2 linked regions of the Arabidopsis thaliana genome follow. The protein of the gene in region 2 interacts with the protein of the main gene of each other region in a biochemical or structural test. Each region holds a gene or a part of one and is shown on either strand. Other genes may lie near its edges.

Region 1 (3,859 bases), on a different chromosome or scaffold from region 2:
ATCTTTGATGTATCTTCATATGTTAAGTTTTGTGGAAAGAGTTTGAAAATGTTGTTTATATTCAGTTTGAAGTTTGAATATTGAAATTGCTTGCTTAGATTTCATCCAAATATGGATAAATGTTTTGTTTTTGGGAATTTGGTTGATTCATGTGGGCATTAAAGGCTTGTGGTGGGTCCAAGCGTGAGCAGATAGTGTAAGAGACCCACGTGTGTACTTAATTCTGATGAATAATGTGTTATGTACACTGGCACAAATATCTTGCCAAGTAGTGAGTGAGTGTTTGTTGTTTTTTGAATGTGGGTTTTGTTGCAGTATGCAGAGAGCATAAAGATGGATCATGAGAAGAAAGTGGAGCAAGTGAGGAGGCTTGAGATGAAGAGAGCTGAGTATGTCAAGACTGAGAAGGCTAAGAAAGACGTCGAGAAGTTAGAATCTCAGCTCTCAGTATCTTCACAAGCCATCCAAAGCGCCTCTAACGAGATCATCAAGCTCAGAGAGACCGAGCTTTACCCTCAGCTTGTCGAGCTTGTTAAAGGGTTTGTTTTGTGCATTCCCATTGCTTCATTAACCTAAAGTATCTTATGTTGGTCAATGTGAACAAGGTTCTTGTATGAATGTAATGTAGGCTAATGTGTATGTGGAGGAGTATGTACGAGAGCCACCAGGTTCAAACCCATATTGTGCAGCAGCTTAAGTACCTTAACACCATCCCCTCCACTGAACCAACATCTGAGCTTCACCGACAATCAACTCTTCAGCTTGAGCTCGAGGTCCAACAATGGCATCACTCTTTCTGCAACTTGGTCAAGGCCCAACGTGACTACATACAATCTCTCACGGGCTGGCTCAGGTTAAGTCTGTTCCAGTTCAGCAAGAATCCACTTGTTAGGAGTAGCTACGAGTCAAAGATCTACAGCTTCTGCGAGGAATGGCATTTAGCTATTGACAGGATCCCTGATAAAGTAGCATCTGAAGGGATCAAAAGCTTTCTGACAGCAGTCCATGGAATTGTGGCTCAACAAGCCGACGAGCATAAGCAAAAGAAGAGAACAGAATCCATGTTAAAAGATTTCGAGAAGAAATCGGCTTCGCTGAGAGCGCTTGAGAGCAAGTATAGTCCATACTCGGTACCTGAGAGTAGGAAAAAGAACCCGGTGATAGAGAAGAGAGTAAAGGTTGAGATGCTAAAAGGAAAAGCAGAAGAAGAGAAAAGTAAGCATGAGAAGTCAGTGAGTGTGACTAGAGCCATGACTCTAAATAACTTGCAGATGGGTTTCCCTCATGTCTTTCAGGCAATGGTTGGGTTTTCAAGTGTGTGTATGCAAGCCTTTGAGTCTGTGTACAACCAAGCTAAGAGCATCGGTGAGGATCAAGAGGAGGTTAAGAGGTTGCTTCCTTAAAGAGAGAAAGACAAATTGTTTTACCATTTGCTCTCTGTTTTTGCTTGATCCAAGCTAATCTTTTGGTTGAATGTTAGGTTGAGTTTATGCTGTTTTCGAAATGAAATTGGTTAAATGACTTTTCATTGAATCACTGCTTGAAACTTCATCAATTCAACTACTTCTTAGCCAAGTCAAATCATTGGAAGGTGACCTACCAAGGTATTATTAACATTGGAGAAGTGTTAGTTAGTTAGTTAGTGAGGTAGTTAAGGGGATTGCTTAAAGAAGTAAGCAAGTTTAATGATAATCAAACACTCGTGATGTGTACGTAACAGAAGAAAAGAGAGATGATTCGTTTGAGCGGCAGAAAAAGACAAGTGCCTAATTTGATTTCCCATAAATAAACACACAATCGATTGGTAATTTTGATTAGTTGGGAGCTATTAAAAGAGGAAATCCACAATAATCGGAAATAGAAAGACAAGTTTGGTTAGCGGAACGTTTCAACGCCATTTTTCCCGGCCAAAGCTAACTCTAACTAACTCTTTGTTTTTTTTCGGTTTTTGTGCCATCTTCCAGTTTTCATTTTTTTTGTTTCCCCTCTATCTTTTTGGGTAATAGGGTTTCTAATCTCTGGGACAAACTCCAATCGTTTCGAATCCGCAATGCCCAGATGGTCGATCAATAGAAATATCAAGAGTCTCCAATTCCAAAGGCTAAATCTTTGAGATCTTTTTTTTTATAAATTTCCCTGAAATTAATAAACTTTGAGGGGAAATGAGCGCTTCGAGGTTCGTAAAGTGCGTGACGGTTGGTGATGGAGCTGTCGGAAAAACTTGTTTGTTGATTTCTTACACAAGCAACACTTTCCCTACGGTTATGTCCCAATTATTCTTTCATGTTTCTTGTTTCATTACCACAACAACAACATATCTCATGTTTCTTGTTTCTTTTGTGGATATACAGGATTATGTGCCTACCGTTTTCGATAATTTCAGTGCCAATGTTGTGGTTAATGGAAGCACTGTGAATCTTGGATTGTGGGACACTGCAGGTTTTTCATTTTCCTATATATCTTGGTGTTTGAAATTTGGAATATGGTTTTTGGATCTGAAGATTTTGAAAATTTGGGTATGAATAAACAGGGCAAGAGGATTACAATAGATTAAGACCACTGAGTTACCGTGGAGCAGATGTTTTCATTTTGGCCTTCTCTCTTATCAGTAAAGCCAGTTATGAAAACGTCTCCAAAAAGGTTTTAAAAATCCATCAATCTTGTTTCATATTATTGAGTTTTCGTCACATTTTTTGAACTCTTGTCACAAATTGTGTTTGCAGTGGATCCCGGAGTTGAAACATTACGCGCCTGGTGTCCCCATCGTCCTTGTTGGAACAAAGCTTGGTGAGTTTTCCATTGTTTTTTCCTGATCTCGCTCCTTTTACTTTATTAGTTGTGACTGAGTTTGTGTTTTTGCTCTCCAGATCTTCGAGATGATAAACAGTTCTTTATCGACCATCCTGGTGCTGTTCCGATTACTACTGCTCAGGGAGAGGAGCTGAGGAAGCAAATAGGAGCACCTACTTACATCGAATGCAGTTCCAAAACTCAAGAGGTACGTAGATTAGTATATATACCCTTGTTGCAGATTTCTAATGTTAATGTTAATGCTAATGTTGATGATGTGAGAGTGCAGAATGTGAAGGCGGTGTTTGACGCAGCCATCCGAGTGGTGTTGCAACCGCCAAAGCAGAAGAAGAAGAAGAGCAAAGCGCAGAAGGCATGCTCCATTCTATGATGATTGGAAATCTCTGTTTTTATGTATTTGGTTTTGGTATATTAATCTTCTAACAATGAATGAATCAATGTGTTAATGGACAGACACCCAAGTTTGACTGGTCCTTTTTGTTCTTAATATTAATGGAGTTTGTCGGAATCAACGTTTCTTTTGCTTCTACGATTCAGTCCTATGCATAATTCCACACAAACACCACATGTTTTGAATCAGTTTTCATTCCCACCATTTCTTCAGCTGACCATATTTTGTATGTTACTGTTTTAAACTTTGCAAACATGTTTATTGGTAGAGAGTGTAACTAGGAAATGAAAAGTAATGATACAAGTTTTATTTCTCAAGATTACTCTTCATGCTTCTGCAACAAGACGAGAAGCCATTGATTATTGATGATTTGCCTAACAGAATGCAAGAAATAAATTCATTCAAACCATTCCATTTTGATTTTCTCGTATTTCTCATTCATGCCACCATCTTCTTGCTGTCTCTGAAACTCGATGTAACGTAGAGTACTATTTATGAATGGCTCTGCGCCTGACTCAACCTTCTTTGTCTCGCTTTTGATTAATTCAGCTAAGCTCTTGATTGTATCGCCTGTTACTTGTTGGTTTCCTTTCTCCAGGAAGTAGAGATACCTGCATTTGACTCGTAAAACCATTAAGAGAAAGCAGTGACAACTGG
Region 2 (4,455 bases):
ATCGTAATCAATCAAAACTATGGGACGTTCTTGCCATATATACGTGGTTGAATCTTGATATTGGTTATGTTCAGGGTAAGTGTACTTGCTGTTAACGATTAATCTTTTGAAACTATATAAGAAACAGAACTGATCCACTTTGTCTATTCATGTAGGAATGAATGATATATGTTCCCCAATGATAATCCTCTTTGATGATGAAGGCGACGCTTTCTGGTGCTTTGAGCGGGCAATGCGGAGACTAGTAATAACTAATAGCCTATGACATAACTTCTCATGTTTCATGTCATTACCAGACCATTGTATTCACGGTTTATTGTTTTCTTTGAATTTCAGAGAGAAAATTTCAGGGCAACAGCAACATCAATGGGTGTCCAGACTCAACTGGGTGTGCTCTCACAGGTCATTAAGACAGTGGATCCTCGTCTCCATCAACATCTAGGTAAGAGTGTTTTCCTATCATAAAAACTCTTCTTGTGGTGGGCTAAAACGTGTTAATGTGACAGAGGATCTCGATGGTGGGGAGTATCTATTTGCTATTCGGATGCTGATGGTACTTTTCAGGAGAGAATTCTCTTTCCTTGACGCTTTGTACCTTTGGGAGGTAATGACAAACTTTCTGCATTTCTTTTCTTGGTTCCTGGTTTTACTTGCCGTGATTGTTTATGAAGCCGTAAGATCTTGCTGTGTGTTTATTATCTTCTTCTTTTTTGCGTTATCTGCTGTTTGGGTAATGAGAATAATGTGAGATGGATTATGGTTGCAGCTGATGTGGGCGATGGAGTACAATCCAACCATGTTTGCAACGTACGAGGAACTAGAAAACCGAAACAACGCAGCATCCGATCCCAAGTTACTAAAACGGTATGGCAAGTTTGAAAGGAAATACATAAACAGTGGGCAGAACGAGCAACATCGCAACACGCTTGCTGTTTTTGTGGTCGCAAGCGTTCTACAGACAAAGAACAAACGTCTCTTGAAGGAGGCCAAAGGCTTAGACGATGTTGTTCAGGTCTGTCTCTGTATCTTTTCACTCGTTTCTCTCAAAGCCAAACAAGGAAAAATCAAACTCTGGAACTTCAAAGTTAAAGTTGGTATGCAGATACTAGGAGACATTGCGGGTAATCTTGACGCCAAAAAAGCATGTAAAGAAGCGTTGAAGATCCATGAAAAATTCCTGAAAAAGGTTTCTTTCACTATCACTATAACTTGGGGAAGATATAATATGATATACAGTTATACTAATGCAGATGGTGTTGTTGTGTGTTTCTTGCAGGCTAATAGTAATAAGCAATAAAGATTTGCTCAAAACTTCTACTCGACGACTTTATATATCAAACATATACTAATACAGTTTTTGATCAGAAGATTGTTCATTGCCGGCCAGAAATTTTCTTGAAAGGTTCTGGAAGGAGATTGATGAGAATCCTCTGCTGAATAATTTTTTTTTTTTTTTTTAATTTGTTCATTTTCTGATGTTCTATGTATTTTGTGGTAAAATGTGTGCCGTTTTTCAGTTATACGAATGAACTACGTACGGGCCACTAACCTCTCCTTACATTATTTGACTCTTGGTGATATTTCTTTTTCACATTTTTCTGTTTTGCATGAATGTATAATCTTAAGAAAAATCGTTAAATGTATATAATGATTATTTTTTAATTAAAGTAAATTAATATTTTTATTTGCTAATAGCAAATGACATAGAGACATACAAAAATTGAGAGAATATTTTCGTCAAAAAAAATTGTGTTACAGCATATAATTCACACATTTATTAATTTATGTGATCTATGTGTGAGAATAAAAGAAAATTCATGTTTTTGTACCATTTTCTAAATTAATTTAAGAGTTTAATTAACACATTCTCTACATACATTGAAGTTTACTAAGATTTGGAAAAGAAAAAAAAAAACAGAGAGAGACAAAAGAAAATTAATGTTAATGATTATTCATTTGATGGAACAGAATAACGTAATTTCTATATACTAATTCTAATTTTTGATTGATTTCTGATAGTAATAGATAAACAAATTGTAACCATCAGATTAACGAAAATTTTGGTTTAAACAAACATTTTTGCACTCTTTTTTTGCCGTATCACCTGTATACGCTCTCAACCCATCATTCAAACAAACATCTTCTTAGTTTCCTTCATTTTTGATTCTTAGTTTCTTCGTTTGATGCTTTTTTTTTCCTCTTGGAGTACTCTGAGGATTTTGTAGGTAAATTTCAAAGGAATTTTGTTTATGTATTCTTAAATCTTTTCTTATTAGGATTATCAATTTGTTCTTTTTGATATATAGAAGAATCTGCAGAAAGATAAACCTACAATTTTCTGAGATGAATTCTTGTTTCTCTCTGAACAATATTTTGGAGTCTTGACTATATACACAATTTTTTTTATCTATCATTTTGTTTCCTCAATATTTACTGCCACCACTTTCTTATTTTCTGGGAAAAGTGAGTTTTCAAAACCTATCATTTTGTTCTTCTGTACTCCCATTTTTCTTATTTAAAAAAGAAATCATAAACCTAAAAAGAGATCTATGCAACTCACAATGTCAAGCTCCAAGATGAAAAGCCTCTTGAAAGGGCTCCGATACATTTCTCAAGTATTTGGTAAGTTCACCCTATAGATCTCTTGTTTAATTTCTTCTGATTTTTGTTCGCATAAGAGTTTATACATATGATAAATCCTTTTTTCCTTATATAAAAACTCGAACTTCATGATCAGTTTTGAATTACTATGATGCAAATCACGTAGAAAATTTGCATGCATGCATTGCAAGTACGTTTATATGGATTGAGGATGAATCTAAATGATTGATTATACTTTCTTGTTTCTTTCTTTTAATGATGATAGAAAGTGAAAAAGAAGAAGAAATACAAATCGGAAATCCAACGGACGTAAAACATGTTGCCCATATCGGTTGGGATGGACCATCCGCTAATGCCACCGCACCAAGCTGGGTATGTTTTTACTCTTTTCTACTTCTTTGGTAATTCTTAAAAGGCGTAAACAATAATCGTGATAAAATAGGCAAATGAAAGATTGTTTTATTATCCTACGCATATTTGGATGGATGTGAGCTCTAGATTAATACTTGACTCAAATCTACGAGGTCATATATATTAAAAATTTGACCTAAAACGTTTTCAGAAAATGTCGAATTGATTTGGTTAATGTTATGTGATTTGAAAGATGACTGAGTTCAACTCCGGCGGGGGATTCGAATCTGCTGAAGGAGTCGGAGAAGATGATTCCTCCATAAAATGTATGTCGGAATATGGTGGTCGGTCTAGAGATTTGCCAAACCTACCAAAATCTACGAGGAAAGCAGCGTCCGAGAAAGGTTCTCCGACAAAAGACAAATCATCAGACAAAACTAAACGTCGCTCTTCTAACAAAGGGACATCGTCATCGTCGAGGAGACCAAAGGAAGCCACTGAAGAACAAGACGAGTTGTCTTCTTGGCCTAGTGGATTACCGGAAATTCCAAAGAAATCTAGGAGGAAGAAGAAGTCGACGAAAGAAACCGCGGTTAATGGAGGGTCATCAAGATCGACAAGAAGATCTGATGTCGATAACATGTCGGAATATATGTCTGAGACTGGTTCTGTGAGATCTATGCCTCAATTCGACAATAGAGATGATTTTTGAAAGGAGAGACGACATATATAGAGACTTTGCTGCTAGCTCCAAATGGCTAATTTTCATTGAACACAACACACCAATTGTTAGATTTTCTTGTTCATTCTTGTACTATTATTAACTATGCAAGGAGAATTTAGACAAATATTTTTCGGTGCTATCATCCAAATCACTTGAACATAGATCATCATTGACGTCGATCATAAATATAAAAGAGCATTCTTACAGAACAAATCAACAGCATCTTTCACTTTACTAGAAACCCTATATATGAATAAAAACTTCTTGGACAAGAGCTGAGTAGTGTTAGTGTGATTTTCCTCTTCATCATAGCCCTCAGCAATAGAGCTGCATCACTACAACAATGGAGCTGCAATCCTGGTCAAAAGTTTTTGTAAATAATCTTCTTTCCTTTTGGTAATATAATTAACATTCTATCAAAAAATAAGTTTATCGTTTTGACCGTTAAATTGGAAACAGAGGACAGCTCTGTTTTGTGAAAGCCTTTTGTAGAGAGAGGGATTAATTTTGTTGTTTCAGTGACAGCTATAGTGTGGCTTCCCACAAAAACGATTTTTATTCATGATAGGAACAGTACGTATGAGATAAACTTGAAACCCTAGTATCAACCATATGAGTTGGTTAAATACAAAAAGATATTGAGAATTCTGATTTGAATCTCTTTGGATGGATCACACAAAAAAAGGAGACCAGTTCATTATTGATCTGTTTGAGGAAATGATATCCGCAAGAAAGTGTAAATTGGGCGTCAACCACAAAACAATTAACAAACCGGCTTT

The links.
Region 1: the proteins of RIC6 (region 2) and ROP1 form a complex in vitro, tested with the Arabidopsis thaliana proteins (one study listed by BioGRID).

Annotation. Positions count from the first base shown.
Region 1 is NC_003074.8:19,041,035-19,044,893, forward strand, and holds ROP1 (RHO-related protein from plants 1), read left to right. Parts: upstream 1-1,823; 5' UTR 1,824-2,162; coding exon 2,163-2,261; intron 2,262-2,351; coding exon 2,352-2,439; intron 2,440-2,530; coding exon 2,531-2,640; intron 2,641-2,723; coding exon 2,724-2,787; intron 2,788-2,867; coding exon 2,868-2,998; intron 2,999-3,079; coding exon 3,080-3,181; 3' UTR 3,182-3,359; downstream 3,360-3,859. Other genes in the region: AT3G51290 (pyridoxal-phosphate-dependent serine hydroxymethyltransferase, putative (DUF632)), read left to right, coding at 316-539, 629-1,382, 2,352-2,439, 2,531-2,640, 2,724-2,787, 2,868-2,998, 3,080-3,181; VPS35C (VPS35 homolog C), read right to left, coding at 3,600-3,813. UniProt on the Arabidopsis thaliana protein: May be involved in cell polarity control during the actin-dependent tip growth of pollen tubes. May regulate callose synthase 1 (CALS1) activity through the interaction with UGT1.
Region 2 is NC_003071.7:8,807,876-8,812,330, reverse strand, and holds RIC6 (ROP-interactive CRIB motif-containing protein 6), read left to right. Parts: upstream 1-2,130; 5' UTR 2,131-2,549; coding exon 2,550-2,622; intron 2,623-2,866; coding exon 2,867-2,973; exon of another isoform or gene 2,974-3,161; intron 3,162-3,205; coding exon 3,206-3,664; 3' UTR 3,665-3,917; downstream 3,918-4,455. Other genes in the region: AT2G20440 (Ypt/Rab-GAP domain of gyp1p superfamily protein), read left to right, coding at 1-75, 156-244, 337-442, 507-604, 767-1,012, 1,103-1,186, 1,277-1,297. UniProt on the Arabidopsis thaliana protein: Functions as a downstream effector of Rho-related GTP binding proteins of the 'Rho of Plants' (ROPs) family. Participates in the propagation of ROP GTPase signals in specific cellular responses.